Linked DNA regions of Arabidopsis thaliana. The protein of the gene in region 1 purifies or fractionates together with the protein of each later gene. This does not show direct contact. Each region holds a gene or a part of one and is shown in the gene's direction. Other genes may lie near its edges.

The links.
Region 2: the proteins of AT1G45000 (region 1) and PAF1 fractionate together in Arabidopsis thaliana (co-fractionation; one large-scale study listed by BioGRID). This does not show direct contact.
Region 3: the proteins of AT1G45000 (region 1) and AT1G59359 fractionate together in Arabidopsis thaliana (co-fractionation; one large-scale study listed by BioGRID). This does not show direct contact.

The regions. Positions count from the first base shown.
Region 1 is NC_003070.9:17,007,440-17,012,506, forward strand, and holds AT1G45000 (AAA-type ATPase family protein), read left to right. Parts: upstream 1-1,611; 5' UTR 1,612-1,780; coding exon 1,781-1,883; intron 1,884-2,155; coding exon 2,156-2,275; intron 2,276-2,370; coding exon 2,371-2,507; intron 2,508-2,596; coding exon 2,597-2,758; intron 2,759-2,917; coding exon 2,918-3,004; intron 3,005-3,095; coding exon 3,096-3,182; intron 3,183-3,276; coding exon 3,277-3,414; intron 3,415-3,621; coding exon 3,622-3,813; intron 3,814-3,910; coding exon 3,911-4,009; intron 4,010-4,093; coding exon 4,094-4,168; 3' UTR 4,169-4,490; downstream 4,491-5,067. Other genes in the region: AT1G44990 (uncharacterized protein), read right to left, coding at 103-277, 320-369. UniProt on the Arabidopsis thaliana protein: The 26S proteasome is involved in the ATP-dependent degradation of ubiquitinated proteins. The regulatory (or ATPase) complex confers ATP dependency and substrate specificity to the 26S complex.
Region 2 is NC_003076.8:17,158,421-17,162,808, reverse strand, and holds PAF1 (proteasome alpha subunit F1), read left to right. Parts: upstream 1-1,652; 5' UTR 1,653-1,833; coding exon 1,834-2,184; intron 2,185-3,053; coding exon 3,054-3,539; 3' UTR 3,540-3,765; downstream 3,766-4,388.
Region 3 is NC_003070.9:21,841,567-21,845,706, reverse strand, and holds AT1G59359 (Ribosomal protein S5 family protein), read left to right. Parts: upstream 1-1,887; 5' UTR 1,888-1,973; coding exon 1,974-2,666; intron 2,667-3,008; coding exon 3,009-3,170; 3' UTR 3,171-3,517; downstream 3,518-4,140. Other genes in the region: AT1G59406 (GDSL-like Lipase/Acylhydrolase superfamily protein), read left to right, coding at 1-69, 160-290, 378-602, 704-959, 1,063-1,256; AT1G59312 (Inositol-pentakisphosphate 2-kinase family protein), read right to left, coding at 3,735-3,866, 3,950-4,140.

The DNA.
Region 1 (5,067 bases):
CCAACAAATAAATTATAATTAAGAAACAAAAGAGGTATGATATTCTGTGTATAAACTACAATATAAACTAAAATACCCTTATTTTTTCTTGTTTTTTAGTCATTACTCTAGTACACTATAATTACCATCACCACCATGCGCTGCAACCATCACCATCATCGCAATTCGCAACCACCATCGCCATGTCGTCACCAGCACTACCACTGCAACTGTCGCCACCATACCAACAACCATAGCGCTGTCACTACTACAACCATCACCATCATCACCACCGAAACTGCTACACCACCGCAACCACCTTAATCACGATCATTATTACCATATTGCTACTACCCCGACCACCGTAACCATCACCACCGCAATCACCATCACCACTATCAAAACAACCAGCACGTCGTTACCACTACCACCACCATCGTCAGTCCGTCACCACCACTATCACCAATTTTTGAATAGTTAATAACTTTTTCTTTTTTTTTTATCTAGAACACTTTGTCCTATACTATTTATTCTATTCTATATACCGTTTTTCATTTGAAAATATACATCATTTTCAATTTTTGAGTTTATACAAGTTTTACACATATAATTATGGTTTGGGTATAAGTTTTTTTGGTTTAGCATTTAGTATATTAAATTAAAATTGATTTATGAATGAGTTATGAAAAATAGTACAATATATTCTTGTTCTATTCCTATACATCCTAAATAGTACAACATATTTTTACTTACACATACTATTCACCATTTCACAAATTTACATCTAATTTTAAAATTTTAAACTATGCAATATGTAGAAAAATATGGTTTTTGTGCAAAAAATCCTACAATACAATTTTTTTTTAACCCTTCAATTAAAAAAAAATGCAGGTCAATACTACCAACTTGAAAAGTGAGCCGCAATATAAACTACGTCGTTTTGGATATTTTAAAATAAAAAGGAATGTTTCAAGAGTGTTTTGAACTCAGGACCTCTAGAAGATATAAAACCTTACCTAACCAATTGTGCCACATAAAATTTATAAACTCTTAACAATAAATAAATATATATATATATATATATATATAGACAGCCTTTATGTTCAACCTGACCAATGCAACCAACGATCTCATCAGAATCACGCCCCTACATATCGCATGATTCAATTTTGTAGGCTCTACAACCTTCCATTGAGATGGCAAACCGCCATTGGTTGTTTAAAATCTTATGTAGACGCTCTAGAAGAAAATAGTCTCGACTTTTTTTTTTTTTTAAAAGAGCAGTTATGTATTTGAGAATGTGCCGGAGAAAAAAAACAATACTATTATATATCAGAATTGAATAATACATATGATAAATCATATATATAATGGATAAGGCTAATGTGAGTGTATAAGTCTCCAATGCTTCAAGCTGATTGTACCACCAAATCTTTTTCAAAAAACTAAAAATTAAAAATTAAAAATAATTAAAATTTTCAAAAAATCAGAATTTAGGCAGAACAAATTGCAATAAAGTTTTTATTTCTTGTTTCTACAAATTAAAATATTTCTGGACGTATTTTTTAATCTTAAGAAGATAGGTTTCTTTAATTAATTTTTTATTCTTTATTTTAATTTTTGGAATTGAACAGAAGCTGATGAAGTGAATGATAACGGATCCACCCAGCCGGACCCAAATAGCCCCAAAAGCCCTTAATTCATAGCTAACTTAACCCATTCCTCAAGAAAACAAAATTACTTTAAAACAGAAAAAAAGTTGATAAATTGCTTCAGTGTCAAATTCTGAGATCTGTAAAAGATGAGCGACGGAGACGACGCTGCTAGACGCCGTACCGCGGCGGTGACTGATTACCGGAAGAAGCTCCTTCATCACAAGGAGCTCGAATCCCGTGTCCGAACAGGTTCGATTTCAAAATCTTCCTCATTCTCCTCTTTCGTTTTCTGGGTTTAGTTTGTGGGTCAAAATCGAATCTAGGGTTTTTTCCTACTCTTCGTTCCCATTAGAAATCTCGAGACTTTACTTCAATTAGTGACGCGATTTTAGGGGTTTTGGAGTTTCGAATTGAATTGGTTCCACCGTTTGTTTCACTTGATTAGTCAATTTTGAAGTCGATCTCAAGCTTAATTTCACTTGTTATAGTTCTTATAAACTGGGTCTTGTGGTTATATGCAGCTAGGGAGAATTTAAGAGCAGCTAAGAAGGAATTCAACAAAACTGAGGATGATTTGAAGTCTCTTCAAAGCGTTGGCCAGATTATTGGAGAAGTACTACGTCCTCTTGATAACGAGCGATGTAATTTTCTATCTTGCTACCTTATGTTTTTGATTGAATACTACACTTTGTGTTTTCTATCATCTAAAGGTGGAATTTTTTCTTCTTCTTTTTAGTGATTGTTAAGGCAAGTAGTGGCCCTCGTTATGTGGTGGGTTGTCGTAGCAAGGTGGACAAGGAAAAGCTTACTTCTGGAACTCGAGTTGTCCTGGATATGACTACGCTGACAATTATGCGAGCCCTTCCTCGTGAAGTATGCTTGATTTCAGTATTTTTGCTTTTTTTTTTTGTAGCTGCTTAGTGTATTTGTACTGGTTTTAATTCGATGGTATGTGTTGGTAGGTTGATCCTGTTGTTTATAACATGTTGCATGAAGATCCAGGCAACATTAGTTACTCAGCTGTGGGTGGTTTAGGTGATCAGATCAGAGAACTTAGGGAATCTATTGAGCTGCCTCTCATGAATCCTGAACTTTTCCTTAGAGTTGGGATTAAACCTCCTAAGGTACTTGATCTCTCTCCAGTCCTTTCTTTTGTTTTCACAAACTATCTCATGATTCACTTTTTATGTTTCCCTGTGCCGTGGTTACCTGCATGAATGGCTAAAAAGAGTTGAAACGCACTTCAATTTCCATAATGCTAATTTTCATTTCTCTCATTCCAGGGTGTCCTTCTGTATGGACCTCCGGGTACTGGAAAAACTCTACTAGCTAGGGCTATTGCCAGCAATATCGACGCCAACTTCTTGAAGGTTTGATTTTGTTGTTGAAGGTTTGGTTTGGTGTTCTTTTTATTATACCTTGTCTGTGCTAAATAAGCTCTTTTTTTACCTTTATGTTTAGGTTGTATCTAGTGCAATCATAGACAAATACATTGGAGAAAGTGCTAGGTTGATTCGAGAAATGTTTAACTATGCTCGTGAACATCAGGTAGAATACCATCTCTTTCCTCTTGTCTTATACCTTGATATGCTTTATATTGAAGTTCATGAATTGTCTCTTAACACTCCTTCTTGGGGGCTAGCCTTGTATCATTTTCATGGATGAAATCGATGCTATTGGTGGACGCCGTTTTAGTGAAGGAACTAGTGCTGATCGTGAAATTCAAAGAACACTTATGGAGTTACTTAACCAGCTTGATGGGTTTGACCAACTTGGAAAGGTATGACCTATAGTTTTAGAATAGTACTCGTGCATAAAACTGAGTGGTTACGGTGTGAAACTTGCTTGTTGGGGATAACTTAGTTCAAGGTAGTTTTGTTTTATAACTCATGTTTCAAGTGGTTACTTTCATTGTTAAATTTATCTGTTTCCCAAAATTATTTGTACAATGGAATATCTTCTGATACTTGGGAGATAATACTATTAGGTGAAAATGATAATGGCCACCAACAGGCCGGATGTTCTTGATCCAGCACTTCTCCGTCCGGGTAGGTTAGATAGAAAGATCGAGATCCCGTTGCCAAATGAACAATCAAGAATGGAAATCCTCAAGATCCACGCATCTGGCATTGCCAAGCATGGAGAAATAGACTATGAGGCTATCGTGAAACTTGGAGAGGTTTGTTTGTTTTTCTTAAATGTCACTGCGTTGTAGTTTTTGCCTTTGTTATATATTATAGATCCCACTGATTGTTCCATTCAATCAACATCCTTAGGGTTTCAATGGTGCCGATCTGCGTAACATATGCACTGAAGCTGGAATGTTCGCAATCAGAGCAGAGCGTGACTATGTAATACATGAAGACTTCATGAAGGTAGAAACAAAAATAAATACTCCGCATGTTTACATATTTTTTTGTACCCAAACTTTTCTGCTTATCAAATTGTCTGTTGTACAGGCTGTGAGAAAGCTGAGCGAGGCCAAGAAGCTTGAGTCGAGCTCTCACTATAACGCGGATTTTGGGAAAGAGTAAGAAAAGAATAAGCTCAGAGAAGAAGAGAGGGCCTAAAGGGCAGTGAAAAACTCTGTTATTCACTTTGAAAAAACAAGCTGATGATTCTGTTTCAGTTTCTCAATGTTTTGTTTTGAGGTTCTAGTAAACACAAAAATTCTTGTTTTAGTAATGACAACTATTTTCTGTTTGTCCTATATTTTTTTATTTTATTTTCTGATCAAACATGCATCCTGTATATCTAAAATGTCAGAAAACTCAAGTGTCGTAATCACAAATCTTAGCAATGATTTTTCATATAAAAAATGTTACAAAAATCAATTATTAATTTATAATATTAGTGGGACCATATTTTTATATAAGATTTTTTAAAAAAATTATTATCTTATTATTTTATCGATTTTAGTTAATTTTTATATTTGTCCGATCTGGAACTAGCAAAATTTATTAATTTTTCTTGTTTATTAATTTATAAAATTTATACTGTATTCCTATCAATAACGATGAGTGCTACAAATGTGTGAAATGCGATTCAGATCTTCACAAAGTATTTGCTAGCCTTCCTTGCAAAAAATATTTACTGCACAACTATAAACTCATTCTACAACTTCTGTGAGCTAATCATATCCTATTACGAATGATCAATATAACTTTTACGACTAAGTAATCATTTCTATAGCTTTTTATGGTGAACGATTTTGTCGACGACTTTATAACTGTCAGTTCTATATGTACCACAAAGATTAACAATAGATGGTTCTACATGCTGATGGTAGACAATTTTACTCTTTTGAAAAATGAACCATAATGAACGTTAATTTTTGTCTTAATCTATTGACAAACGTAAAAGCATCCTCAACGGTGAGGCTCTCTGAAATGATCATTGGATTAATAGAAAATATTAATTTTATGATTTTCTT
Region 2 (4,388 bases), on another chromosome or scaffold:
AATATCAAATAAAGAATAATTCTTGGGTTCACTTCTAGGGGGTGAACCTAATTTATTCACCCCCTCTTTAATAACAAATCAATATTTGCCATGTTATTTGATTAAAAAAACTTAAAACAATTAATATTATCAAAATAAAATAATTAAAATAAATCATTAAAACCCCACTTTTTTGTAAATCCAAACCGATATATAATCTCGTTTAATTACCAAATCTAAGCCCTAATTCTCCTTTATAAACCCAAACCGCCATTTAGACTTATTTAATCGTTAAAAAACAAACCATAATCGTATTTTCTAAACCCAAACCGACATTTAACCTAGTTTAATTGTAAAATCTAAATATGTTTATAAGCCCAAACTAATATTTAACATCGTATAATCATAAAATCTAAACCCTAATCGTATTTTGTAAACCCAAACCGATATTTAACCTCGTTTAATCATAAAATCTAAACTCTCATTTTTTCTAATAAACTCAAACCGATACATAATTTTCTTTTAGTGGCAAATTAGATTTAATAGTTAAATTAATTTTTTATTATTATTACTAGTTTGTTAGTTGGGTTTAAAAGTTTCATCAAAGGAGATTTCATAATTGAATAAGGTAAGTGACGATTTTAAAATAGCTTGTTTTTAGAAGTTTTTCGTTCTAGGTTTGTTCTTATTGCATGTAGCTAGTTAGCGTCATGAACTAGTAACTGATCTTAGGGAGATAAAACCACAAAAGTGCTGAATTTATTTACTTGATCTAACATACATAGACTAGAAACTACGTTATAACAATACAAAAGCTTAGTTGTAGAGCTTTGTTTGTGGAGGTAAAGGAACTTGATCTCATTGGGTGATTGATTTTGTGGCTACAACAAAAATCTGAGTAGTTAAGTTTTTATCGATGCTACAAAATTCAATCCCCTAGTCATCTGTGATTCCAGTTTAAGGAACTTGAGCTAAACTGAATATGCTTTTGTTAATCTTCTTGTATGAGACAATATGAACTTTCGCGATATTCTTAAAGACTCAACGATTAATTATCATACAGTTGATAATAATAGTCGAAAATAACAATCGTTACCAATCCACTTCTATATTATGTATAAAATGATTAAAACTATATTATAAAACAAATAATAATTCAAATTTAAATAAATATTTAAAAATCAAAATTCTATTAGTGTTGTACAAGCACATGTTATGATCTACTTCATCACTATATTCGTCAAAACTAAAAATGTATGACTTTTCAGCTGTCATAAAAGTTTAGAAATATACAATAAATTAATTTTAAGATATCAATTTTAAAAATGATAAATGTTCTAAAATTTTAAATAGGATCAATCACAGAGACTTTTTTTTTGTAACAATTCAAATTATATGATTACTAATAACAAAATCGCAAAGTTTTATATTTATAAAATTAATTCATTTTTATTTAGTTTCAAATAATATACAAGAATATTCAAGCTAGTGTGCTCTGTTTTGTCTAATGTTTTTTTTTTTACTGAGAACTATTGACCAAACTCTTTTGTACATATTTAAAGATTCTTAAACAATTTCACATTTCATCAAAAAAAAAAAAAAGAATATACAAGGATTATCCTGTATAAAAACATAGGCCTAAAGTCTGTATAAAACATATGCCTAAAGTCTTAGCCCAATAAGCTAGATACCGAGCCAATACAAAGCCCAGAATTTAATAGAAGCCCATTAAATCGAGAGAGAGATCGAGAGCATCCATGGCTTGAAGGAAAAGAAAAGTTTTGTTTCTGAACTTTCGTCTCTATAAACCCTTTCGACGACGAGTGAAGAAGAAAGCGAGACGAAGAAGCAAAGATGTTCAGAAACCAATACGACACAGATGTTACGACATGGAGTCCAACAGGTCGTTTATTCCAAGTGGAATACGCCATGGAAGCAGTGAAGCAAGGATCTGCAGCAATTGGACTCAGATCTCGTTCTCATGTCGTTCTCGCTTGTGTTAACAAAGCTCAATCGGAGCTTTCTTCGCATCAGAGGAAGATCTTTAAAGTCGATGACCATATCGGTGTTGCAATCGCTGGTCTCACAGCCGACGGTCGTGTATTGTCTCGGTATATGAGATCGGAATCGATTAATCACTCTTTTACTTATGAGTCTCCTCTTCCTGTTGGTCGTCTCGTTGTTCATCTTGCTGATAAAGCTCAGGTTAGGCTTTTGTAGTTTGTTGATTGAGATTTGGTGGAATTTGGAATCGATTACGCTTGGTTTTGTGTGATTCGGTGATAAGTGTGTTGTAATTGTTAATTGAAATTTGAGGAATTTGGAATTCGATTACACTGTGAATCACTGAGCTCAAATTTAGCCATTAGCTTCTTGACTTTGTGCTTAGGGTTTGATCTGAGCTGATTAGGATTCTAAATTGCATTAAATAAGAGTTTTCTTAATTTATCATAGCAGAAACTTGAATCTTGTTTAGTGAAATTGTTTGCATGTTTGTTGTTACTGCTGCATAATCTTGTATTTAAAAGTTTAACCATAACTAAGAGCTTAACAATAGGATTCTAAAAGAAAGAGATTTGTGTTTCTTCTGGTGCTTTTGCTTGTTTCTGCAGTTTTTATTTGGAGTTATTGATTTTCAGTACCTCTAAGAAGTGAATTCCGCTCTTTGTTTTGCATCGTTCTCACCACTATGCACTTATCTTACCAGTCAATTACTCCTGCTAGGTGCTTGTTCGACATCTTTTCTGTAATTATGTGCTACTTCTCACTTTGTTTTTCCACCTATCTAATGGTTTCTTAAGTTAGCTGTTTTATCCACATCTGCATAAATACTTTTCAAAGCCATTGGGAAGAGCTCCCATATATTATATGTGTTTATAAAAGGAAGGGTCTTGTATTTCCTCATTGTCAAACTTTATTAGTTGGTTTACTCTTTTGTAGGAGAGATTTTACTTGACAGGTCCAACTTAAGTTACATTATTGTCATATTTCTTGTCTTTACCAAGGGTTTTTTTTGTTATATTTCTTGATCTGGAAAAGGAAATATTTATGTGTATGTTTGCCTTTATGAACAGGTCTGTACCCAACGATCATGGAAACGACCCTATGGTGTTGGTTTGCTGGTAGGTGGATTGGATGAGTCTGGAGCCCACCTTTACTACAACTGTCCCAGCGGAAACTACTTCGAGTACCAAGCTTTTGCTATTGGATCCCGTTCCCAAGCAGCAAAGACCTATCTGGAACGCAGGTTTGAGAGCTTTGGGGATTCTTCTAGAGAAGATCTGATCAAAGATGCTATTTTGGCTGTTAGGGAGACATTGCAAGGGGAAACACTGAAGAGTTCTCTCTGCACAGTCGCTATTCTAGGAGTCGATGAACCGTTCCACTTCCTGGACCAGGAAGCAATACAGAAAGTGATCGACACATTTGAGAAAGTGCCAGAGGAAGAGGAAGGAGAAGGCGAGGCTGGTGAGGGTGAGGCCGAAGCTGCCGAGGCTGCACCAGCAGAACGAGGTGGTGGTGTTGCAGGTGACCAAGACGTGGCTCCAATGGAAATGTAAGGCTTGTGTGTGTAACGCTGGAACTATTTTATTTCGATGTTAGTTGGATTTTTACTTTGCAAAATGGCTGCGGGTTTAGATTATATGCTTGAGAAGTTGAAACCATTTCGTCATTTAAACTCAATAGCTGCCATCAAGACTTTCTCGTATTCTGGTCTTTTGGTTTAAATCTGAAATCTGTTCACGACTTCCTATCTCTTTGGTTCTGCAATTCCTTGCTAAAAAAGTGTGTAGTGTCATCTAACTAGGGCTGTCAAGCAGGCCAAGCCAGCCTTGTTAGGCCTGCCCTGCAGAGGGTTTTAACAAAAAAATTGACCAGCCTCAAGTTTCCTTCGAAGGTTAATCTAAAATTTGTTAACCCAAAGAACTCCAGAATTTAATGTTAAATCGTAAATTATGATAAAATCATTAGCTCGACGTCATTTAGTCTAATAGAAAACATAAGTGGCCCCCTACATGGTGACGACTACGAAAGACTTTGGATAATGGGAACCATGTAAACCAGACCCATTGACTTTGCCGTCTCTCTTAATCATTTGCTTTATCCAGCATCCGTTCTCGTATATACACCAAATTAACCATCAAAGGAAAAAAAAATGATCAAGAGTTTATCATTGCATCTAAGAGCTAGTGGATCATATAAAATTGAATTAACAACGAACAGTCATGTTTTCGGTGTCAAAAGACATTGTGAATTAAACATACGAAACTACGTCAAATCGTTTAAGGCAATTGGAAAACACAAGATCTTTTACGGGTTCAGGTGTCTCGTTGTAAGATTATCCTACATTACAACAGGGTTTGAACGATAATCATTGTCAACCGTTTCTATCAAGAACATAGGAACTT
Region 3 (4,140 bases), 4.8 Mb from region 1:
GAAAAGATTATCCTGGAGGCTTCGCTACTGGAAGATTTTCTGATGGAAGAGTTCCTTCTGATCTTATTGGTAACCAATTGAATTGTTATTACATTTTTCTAAATTATGAATCATATATATTTATCTATATTCTGATAAATATGTTTAAAAATATTTCAGCGGAAAAGTTGGGATTGGCTAAGACATTACCAGCATATATGAATCCGTATTTGAAGCCAGAGGATCTTCTTAAAGGTGTAACATTTGCATCTGGAGGAACTGGTTATGATCCATTGACAGCAAAAATTATGGTACAATATATCTTATTTTTTTCTATCACGATCCTTAGTTTTTTTATGGGTAATTCTTTTTTCTTACATTTATGTTTATTTTTATAGTCAGTAATATCGGTGTGGGATCAACTCATAAATTTCAAAGAATATATATCAAAGATCAAGAGGCATTTCGGAGAAGAAAAAGCCAAAGATATCTTGGAACATAGTTTCTTTCTTGTGGTGTCTAGTAGCAATGACCTTGCTCACACTTATTTAGCTCAAACTCATCGATATGATCGTACCTCTTATGCCAATTTCTTGGCTGACTCTGCTGTCCATTTCGTGAGAGTAAGTACTTTATTGTAAATATATAGAATAATACAGAAACTAATCAATAATATATTGTTTTATCCACTAAATACTTTATCTTATCGATAATTGATAATTAGGAATTACATAAGCTTGGAGCTCGGAAAATAGGAGTGTTTAGTGCAGTCCCCGTCGGTTGTGTTCCACTCCAAAGAACAGTTTTTGGAGGTTTTTTTACAAGAGGATGTAATCAACCTCTAAACAACATGGCAAAACAATTTAACGCAAGACTTTCTCCAGCTTTAGATTCTTTAGATAAAGAGCTAGATGGTGTTATCCTTTACATTAATGTTTATGATACTCTTTTCGACATGATCCAACACCCTAAAAAATACGGTAAGTTCATCTAACATATTTATCTACATAGAAATTATTTATATTTTAATTTTATTATATATTTTAAACTATATTTTATTCAAATGATCTCGTTTTGTTTCAGGTTTTGAGGTAGCTGATAGAGGATGTTGCGGTAAAGGATTGCTTGCGATATCCTATTTGTGTAACTCATTGAACCCATTTACGTGTTCTAATTCTTCAGCATACATATTTTGGGATAGCTATCATCCATCTGAAAGAGCTTATCAAGTTATCGTCGACAATTTACTCGACAAATATTTGAGCAAAGTCTATTGATGTTGAACATCTGAATATTGTTTTTTTGTTCTTTTTATTCTCATTCTCTTATGTATACATTCATTACTCAATTTTTTAATGTACTATACTATATCTTTACTCATCAAATTATTAACTTTGAGACTCACTAATCAAAAAATTCTCACTACTCTTTTAAACACAAACACGTTAGATGTTAAAATTGGTTGTATTCGCCCTCATAACCAATTGGAAAGTGGCCTAAATAAGAGAATGATGCGACACTAAAAAGCCGAAGAAAATTCTAGCCATTTGAGAGATGATACAATGAGATTCAGCTTTAAAATGTATGACCTATTTATTACTGACAACAAACGAATTACATTTGTTTACGATCTTTGAGTTCACAATGGTTTGCATAAATGTCTAACAAATGTCTTGAGAATTTGTTTCACAAGACAAGCAAACCAATTGCACTCAATTTGCATAAAGTCTCTAAATAGTAAAACAATACGCACATAGTTCTTAAGATCACAAGATAAGCAAAGCAATTCCACTCAATTTGCATATCACGTACTATATTGGGTGTTATTGAATAAGTTATGTTATTGGGCCGGGCTTCTTGGTTTGTATCTCAACAAAACAATTATATCAACATTCGGCCCACAAGCCCATAATTCAGACTTTCGAAAACCCTAATCTTATGCTCACCTATATAAACTAAAACTTGTGAATCCGCTAGGGTTTACTTCATCGAAAATGGCGGAAAGAGGAGGAGAAAGCGGCGCAGAGCGTGGCGGTGACCGTGGTGACTTCGGGCGTGGATTCGGCGGTGGACGTGGAGGTGGCCGTGGCCGTGATCGTGGTCCAAGAGGCCGTGGAAGACGTGGAGGCCGTGCCTCGGAAGAAACGAAATGGGTTCCAGTGACCAAACTAGGTCGTCTAGTGGCTGACAATAAAATAACGAAGCTAGAGCAGATCTATCTTCATTCTCTCCCAGTAAAGGAGTACCAAATCATAGATCATCTTGTTGGTCCTACGTTGAAAGACGAGGTTATGAAGATCATGCCTGTTCAGAAACAAACCAGAGCTGGTCAAAGGACTAGATTCAAGGCCTTTGTTGTTGTTGGTGATGGAAATGGTCATGTTGGTTTGGGTGTCAAGTGTTCTAAGGAAGTTGCTACTGCCATTAGAGGAGCTATTATTCTTGCTAAGCTATCAGTGGTTCCGGTGAGGAGAGGTTATTGGGGGAATAAGATTGGGAAGCCACACACTGTGCCTTGTAAGGTTACTGGTAAATGTGGTTCTGTTACTGTGAGAATGGTTCCTGCTCCGAGAGGTTCTGGTATTGTTGCTGCTAGGGTTCCTAAGAAGGTTCTTCAGTTCGCTGGTATTGATGATGTCTTTACTTCTTCAAGAGGATCTACCAAAACCCTTGGAAACTTTGTCAAGGTTTGATTTTGATCCTTCTTTTTTGAAGCATTTGATAATGTTTAGCTGTAGAGTTCTTTGATTTAGCTCTGCTTTTAATGATTTGATTATCCCTTAATAGGGATTTAGTTCACATTTGCTTAGTAGTTGGTGATAAATGAAGCGTCTAAATGTAGCTGATTGCAATTTGTAGATGATCATAGATTTTGTTGATGATTTTCATCTCAAGTACTTAATTTGATGGATGTAGATGCTTCATAATTTGTGATAGATTGATATTCTTGATTTCTTTTTTGAACTCTTGGCATGATGTTGCTTGATTATCTTAACCATAGTGTTGATGTTGTTGGTGTTATGATACAGGCTACATTCGATTGCTTACAGAAGACATATGGGTTCCTTACACCAGAGTTCTGGAAAGAGACTAGATTCTCCAGATCGCCGTACCAAGAGCACACTGATTTCCTGTCGACTAAGGCTGTTTCTGCAACCAAGGTTATCACTGAGGGTGAAGACCAAGCTTAAGACCTTCATGAGATGAGTTTGGTTTATAGGTTTTGGTTATCGCAAATATTTATCTTTCCGGTCTTGTTTCTTGGTTGTCTTTTATCAGTTTTTGATATTGGAGTTTCAGTTACAAGGATAATCATAATTTAGTTATGTTTGGCTTTTGTTAGATATTTGCTTCCATGAAATGACATTTTGCAATAATGCATGTCTATTTCTAAGTTCTTGCAATTAATCAGTCTAACATGTATAAATTGTTCAAGGAACAATATCAATTATGAATGATCTAGTATAATAAGTGTTGATATCGACATTTCATCAGCAGTAAAAACAGAAGAACGAATTAATAAAGTCAAACAAATTCAGTAGAATGATATTTTTTCTCAACTTATTTTATAATAACCATTTTAAAAACAAACATAGTACATACATGTATTCCCCTTTCCTTGGATTTGTTAACATGATGCTTTAATGCTTAGATTGAGTCTTATGAATTGATACAAGTGAAAACAGTAGGAAATTGTTACGAAACATAAAATACTCTTATGAGATATGAAATCTGATTCTTATAGCTTTGTAGTTCTAGAAGCGCCGAGGTTGATCTCCTTTCTTCTTCTTGAGCATCTCCTGGTATGTTTTTGTGATCTTCTTGTCTGATTCGTGATAGGCTTCCATTCTCTTTAAAGGTCTCATATCAAGATCAATGAAGTGTATCTGCCGACGATGTAGACCTCAGTTTAATTATGAGAAAAAACAATTTAACAAAGGCAAAGATTCTTGTGAAAAAAAACATGTACCTTATACTCAAATTCTTGCTTTGTTGATTCAAGTTGAATGTTACCGTGGGAAGAGGATCTTGAGAGCCCAGTCTCTATTGGTCTAAAACTTATCATTACACTACAATCTATAGCAGTGGAAGATATTAGAAAATCCTTCAAAATATTTACTTTCTCATCCTGTGGCAATGAATGCATGGAACCAAACTGAT